Caenorhabditis elegans: one gene and its partner. The protein of the gene in region 2 purifies or fractionates together with the protein of the main gene of each other region. This does not show direct contact. Each region holds a gene or a part of one and is shown on either strand. Other genes may lie near its edges.

Evidence for each region.
Region 1: the proteins of ZK402.1 (region 2) and Y48G1A.2 fractionate together in Caenorhabditis elegans (co-fractionation; one large-scale study listed by BioGRID). This does not show direct contact.

Annotation. Positions count from the first base shown.
Region 1 is NC_003279.8:345,625-349,162, forward strand, and holds Y48G1A.2 (Transposase), read left to right. Parts: upstream 1-1,844; 5' UTR 1,845-1,950; coding exon 1,951-1,957; intron 1,958-2,005; coding exon 2,006-2,082; intron 2,083-2,137; coding exon 2,138-2,359; intron 2,360-2,417; coding exon 2,418-2,525; 3' UTR 2,526-2,680; downstream 2,681-3,538. Other genes in the region: mbtr-1 (Malignant brain tumor repeat protein 1), read right to left, coding at 1-206, 751-892, 937-1,118, 1,169-1,420, 2,681-2,740; Y48G1A.1 (BTB domain-containing protein), read left to right, coding at 2,911-2,995, 3,053-3,280.
Region 2 is NC_003284.9:1,402,700-1,405,820, reverse strand, and holds ZK402.1 (Protein FAR1-RELATED SEQUENCE), read right to left. Parts: upstream 1,551-3,121; coding exon 1,396-1,550; intron 1,345-1,395; coding exon 1,149-1,344; intron 1,097-1,148; coding exon 824-1,096; downstream 1-823. Other genes in the region: ZK402.2 (SPK domain-containing protein), read right to left, coding at 1,704-1,821, 1,866-2,077.

The DNA of each region.
Region 1 (3,538 bases), on a different chromosome or scaffold from region 2:
TAATCCTGAGCGGTGACCATGACCATCAGACGGCGGCCAAGGATCCTGAGGATCCGTGCGACACGGATTTCTGTTGGCTCCAAGTAGTTGAGTAGCTCGACGCGTTGATTCAGCCGGAAACGAGATGGGCGGTGGGCAAGGTGGCGGAGTTGGTCGAAGATTTTTGGCTCAGAGATTCGATTTTCGTGCAGCTCGGCTTGAAATTCCTGCAGGAAAATTTTTTTAGGAAATGGGAAAATCAGAAGGGTTTTTTGGAGTTTTTTTTCAGTATTATTTTTTTTGTTGTTTTTTTGAGGCTTTGTTAAAGTTTTTAGGTGAATTTTTTTTGTTGATATTTTTGGTTTGTTTAAGAATAAATCATTTTTTGAAAAAAATTCGTTTTTATATTTTCGGTTTTTTGCTGGTTTAGTTAAAAGTTTTTTTTTCGGATTTTCAGGTTTTTTGACAAAAATTGATTTTTTTTTTGGTGTATTTCTTAGGTTTTCGGGTTTTTTTTTTGGTTTTTGACGAAAAATTTATTTTAAAAAAAACGGACTTTTTTGCAAAAAATATGGGGTTTCTTAAAAAAAAAAATTTCAATTTTTTTTGTTGGATAAAATTAAAGTTTCTTTTATGGTTGATTTTTCGCCTTTTTTCACATTCTCCACCAGAAAAAACATGAAAAAAACCAGAAATGAGTAGTTTTGAGCAATTTTCAGGCAGTTTTTCCGCTCAGAAAATAATTTTGGCCGGATTTTCATGGTTTCTCACATCCAGAATCTCCTCTGTTGGCCGTGGTACGGGCGGTGCAGGCGTAGATCCACGTCGCCAAAATTTCGGGCATTGCATCGGTTTCAGCAAGCTCAGTGGCCTGTATTGAAGCCATTTCATCGCTGGATCCTGCTTGAGACCGCTGAAATTTCGCGTTTTTTTTTGGAAATTTTGTTGAAAAATAACCTTCCAATATCGAAAATATCCTCTGAAAGCATATGAAACCAGCAGGGTCTTCTATTAAGTTCCCCCACAAATTTAATTGCCACGTAGAAGCCGCAGACAGCAGTCACCTCGCCGAACCAGCGGATTTCTGGAGATTTAGTGGTTATAGAAGGATCCAGAGACGGTCGGACGACTACTTCTAGCTGAAAACATTAAGATTATGGCTTTAAAGTTTTTTAAAAGAAAAACCAACTCGAAATCCAGGTTTTAGGTGCTGATTTAGCTTTTCCAGCGGCAAACAACCCTCCAGCGCCTCGACAGGTAAAAATTGAGTATTTCCATCATAATTACATCGGAGTTCATCTGACCATGTGAATGTTCCTTCAATTTGTGGCTTTGGAATCCGCTGGGCGATTTTCTCAACTGGATTTCTTCGACGATAGAATAGCCGTTCTTCGGTGAAATATCGGTATTCTGCTTCTTCAAGTTTGTAATTATATTGACGCTGAAAGTAATAAATTATGTTTTTCGATAAAAATGCTTTTAAAATTACCTTTTTATTCGAAAAATTCATTGATTTTAATTAAAAATCTATTTAAATTGTTTAAATTAAAAAGTTCCAAGCTTCTGTAGTTATCGCGTCGAGACCCAACACACTAATTACCACATGCGCCTTTATATAAATTTTAAGAAAATCAACATTTTAAAAGATTTTTACAGTTTTTTTGTCGTTAAATTTTTCGAAAAAATGATTTAAACTCACAGTAAACTTGTTTGAAACTTGAATATTAAAATTTCACAGTCAATGGGTTAAATTTCAAGACTTTCCCACTGATGATACGGTAGGCGCGAAGTACGGTAGTTTGTTTTGTTTTTTTTTATTTTGCCGCCGAGTGATTCAAATTTGAATTTATATCATCCGATTTTTTGATTTTTTCCTCAATATTTCTCGATTTTTCAGCTTTCAGTGTGATTTTCCAAGAGCCGTAGCTCGACCAGACGACGGAGAGCCTGAGGCTGGTCGCCAGAAGCACTATGAAGTGTGGGTTTTTTTTAAAGCATAATTTGCATTAATCTTCTAATATTTTAGCCACCCCACACCGTCCACGAACAAACTCCGAATCGAAGCTCGGGGCTCGCGAGCAGCTTCTCCGGGACTCTATACGAGTGGGTTTAAGTTCTTAATTTCAAATTTCACTCATTTAAAAATTTTATTTTTTAGCTTCAAGTAGCTTCGGAGCCGTACGTCCACATGACAAAGGAATCCACGTGGGACGAGGCGAAAAAACTGGCGATCAGTCTTGAAAAGAAGCCGGACATTGTCCGTAAAGCGATATACAATCGTCGTCGCTTCGTCAATGAAAAGATAAAAAGTGCGCTGGTCAAGCGCGAAATCATCGACCCAAGAAGCCCGGCAATCCATGAAATAGCAGTGGCGGCGGAGGTATTTTAAAAGAAAATCAGACAAATTTAATATCTAATTATTCCCCATTTTCTTGCAGACAATCGCCATAAACGTTGTGCACTTCTTGGAGACTCATCACGCAAAAATACTCGCTGAAATCAAAGCGGCCGCCGCTGGAGCCGGCGCCCAGCTCCGAACTGCATGAATTAATTCAAATTAATATTTTTAAACTCATTTTTCACACAAATAATCATTCATGTGTCCATTTTTCACTCTCGAAACCCATATACCCTCACTCTAAATATCAATATAATGCACATTTCTCATAGTTTTAATCTGCCCTTACCAATTAAATCTTACCAATTTTCCGCCATGATCCCTTTTTCCATTTTGAATAAAATTCGACGACGATTTTTCCATTAAAACAAGAAATATATAAATAGATTCAAAAGTGGCGCTTGTGTCGCTCAGCGGTCTCCTCCACTTGCACACTATCTCACCGCGGCCTTCCAATTACTCGTCCATTTTCCAGCTGTAAAAAGTTTATAAAAACTGAAATAAATGCAATTTTCAGCAGAAAATCGCTGAAAATGCGGCAAATCGTCGAGCTAAAGTCACTTTTGACTTCGGAGCCAATTAAAGCCATCGAGCTCTTCGATAGGCTCGTTGGACAAGGTTTGAGCCGAAAATCTAAACTTTTAAGCTGAGATTTCTTTTAAAAATCCCTTCCAGATGCCGACACAATCACCCAAGAAGCCTGTGGAACCCTCGCCAACTATATCCGGCATTCCAGTGTTTTTAAGCGACGGCTTCTGTTCACGGAGCTCCAAAAATGCTCGTTTTTTGCGAAATTGTGCATTTCGTTTCAATTTCACAGCTTTGAAGACACAGTTTTTCCGCGAAAATTGATTTTCGAACGATTCAGCGTGTTTTGCGGTGAACTGGAAAAGGACAAGCCACGTGGGTTTTCATTTATTGAAAATTGAAAAGATTTTTGCAAAAAATCATAAAATTTAATGTAAAACTGAACAAAACTCGATTTTTAACCGAACCTTTTTGTTTTTTCCGTGAAAAAATCGGTTTTCCAAGTTTTTCGAACATTTTCCGAAAAAAAATTACGCAAAAAAAACGATTTTCAAGTAACAAATCCGGAAAAATCAAACTTAAATATTTTCGGAAAATTTCATAATTTTCTTCAAATCTCTGTAAAAAGTAGAT
Region 2 (3,121 bases):
TGGATGGGAAAATGGGAAAGTATTGGCTGGGGACTCAAAGACCCAGCGGTTTGTAAACGAGTGACCTGTCCCTCTCAGGACAAGTTTTTTATGCTGTCTCCTCTCTGAAGAGACACGAGGGAGAAAGAGGAATTTGGGGCGGGGCGGCGGTATGGTATGGGAGAGAAAAGGGGGAAAGGTTGAGGCTCTTAGCCTATATTAAAAAACATTACAATAAAATCAATTATAATCAATTATTGCATTCCTTGGCTTTTGCTTAGAGGTATGAATCATCAAAGAGGTTTCATACACTCCCCGCGCCGCACGATGAGTAGCCTCGGATTTTGTTTTGATCTCCTTGTTGAGCTTGAGTAGACTGCCTGGCTTGAGTAGACAGCTTGGCTTGAGTAGATGATAAGATTTGATGAGTGTGTGATGATGATGATCTTGACAGCTTGCATTACTTTTGATCTTCGCTTCTTTGAATGGGATCCTCGATACAGATGGAACAATGATGATTGATCCTTTTACAGTACGTACATGGCTTTGGAGTACATTGATGTTATCATACCCACAGGGTTCTTATGAGGTCTTTATATATTTTACTAACATGGTGTAGCGGTTATGTTACTTATGAGTTTATTATTGGAAGTTAAAGAATATAAAGAATAATGAGGATTAAGATGTAAAAGATAGAATAAAGATAGAACAGAATGAGAGCTCACACCATCACCACTCAGGAACCATCATCACCACCACACTACCTTGCTCTTCTCTTCTTTCTTCTTCTTGGTGTCATGGGCGTGTCCAGAGGGCGTAACCAGATGACATGTTACTAGGGTTTCTAGGTGCAACAATGTCTTCCTTCTCGTTTTGCCAGGCACAAGTGGCAACGGTTGTCTTTGTCGAGGATTTTCTTTCTTTCGAAAGTTCCTTTCGTGTGCCCGCATCGATTGGAATGATGATGATAATGGCAGTACACACATCGCGGTGTCTTCTCCTCCTCATCCGTCGTGAAGTCCCTCATGGGAACTTTCTTATCGTTTTTGAACACTGAGTTCTTCGGTTTCCTTCGAGGAATACTCGGTCCTTTGTCGACCTTTCGTGGGATGTTCCCCTGAAATTCTTTGGGATCGCTTTTCAAGGGGAGCTTGCAAACTCTTGCATACAGATTTCACATAAATAGTTGGCTGATTGTTCTCTTCCATCATCACTTCTTTATATTCTTGCGAATGATCGATGAGCAAATTATAGGTTGAATCTCTATTGAGGAGTTCTTCAAAATCGAAATCAACTGGCTCAGGCTTCGGATATCCGTCCACAGTTTCAATAATCTCCAGATCATCGTCGTCGTCACTCGAGCTCCTGAAAATAATCAAATAAAATACTGCGTAATATGAAATTGACAGGATATACATTTCAGTTCTCGCTCTTTTCGGAGATCTAGGAAGAGAAGTCGCCGAATCTACGCCATCTTCGTCGCTCTCGGCTTGGTTCGTCGTCTGACTTGCATTCATGACCATGTGCACGTGTCGACCAGCCTTTCGGTGATATGCAGATGTTCTTTTCATTCTTGCCGAATGACTGTGGTCCGCCTCCAACTTCAGCTTTCCATCACGTTATGCATACTCGCAAATTCGTTTGCCATCATTGAGCACGACAATTCCATCCGTTTGAACTTTGTAAATCACTATTCGTTAACTCAAAAACCTTTTTAAAATTTTTTACTGTGTCAGAAAGTCGTCCGAAACTTTTCCAGCAAGCCCAAGCATCACTCGGAGACGGCTTTCAATACTGTAATTGTCCAGTTGATCCATGTTTGGCGCAAGCTTTTTATGGAATCTAAATCTAAATTTATTAAAGAGAACCAGGTATAATATTCTCACTTTCGATAATAGGCTCCATCCGAACATCTGGCATTTTCTTTTTTACCGAACTCCATGAAAACTTTTGTTGCCACCAGTGGCTCATTGGCTTCTTTCGTCTTTTCAACAAGAAAAGTCATCAATCTTACGTCATCGGCGGTAGTATGTGGAGCTAAATTTCCCACCCCCAGCCAGGGAGCTAAATTTCGCACCTGCCACCAAACCGCGTTCATGCACCGATTTTTTTCAAATCTATATCGTTTTCTTTGTTTTTGCCGATAAGTTTGATCAGGTTTCCCACAAAAACCTCCTCACTCTTACTATTCAATCTCTGTAGATAGTTTTCTGCTTCCGTGGAATTTTTTTACTTAAAGTCAGTAATCATATTGCAGTGTTTCTGTTCTGTGCACCAAAGATTTCAATTCCACTTGACGGAGTTCTTCGTCATTTCAATGATGTGGATGAACTGGTGGCGAGATTGAGGAGATGGCGCGACGGAATTCGTCGCTACATAGTAGTATGTGGAGCTAAATTTCCCACCCCCAGCCAGGGTGCTAAATTTCGCACCTGCCACCCACACTGCAGGGAAAGAAGGGGGAGAGGTGAGTTCAGTTACGGTGATGGCCGAAGGCCAGGGAGCTAAATTTCGCACCTACCCCACCCATGAGAGAAAAGGGGGAAGGCTGGAGTGATGCCGGGGAGCTAAATTTCAAGCCTAGTCAGGGAGCTAAATTTCCCGCCTGCCACCCATGAGAGAGATGGTGGAAGGGTGAGATGTCGGTGGTTTTCAATTTTATATGTATTCTCAAAAGTTATCAGTGCATTCGGCGCGGAATTTTCAGCTTCAAGATTGAAGAATAAAGTTAAGGAGATGTATCAAATTTAAATGTTTGAAGAATTATTCAGTTTTTTGTCGAAACTTTTTTTATTTTCAAAGATTTTCACAAATGATAAAAGATTCCATTTTCCATCCAAATTGTTTATTAAACAAATAAAACGAAAACAAAGCTTTTATTCAGAAAAAAATGGAAATTGTAATTTATAACTTGAATGGCGAGGAGACCAGACACGGTGGCACTTGAATGGTGACTTGAATGGCAAGGAGACCAGAAGCATTTATTCTGTCCTGTAAACGGTAGGGTAAGGTAAAAAAAGACTAAGAAAAAAAACTCACCATACTCTAATGAGTCCTTCAATCTCATCCAGGGCCTCGAGATTGAGAATTATTTTGCGTAATTCTCTGTTCTCCTGACGAAGAAAACGATATAGATTTGAAA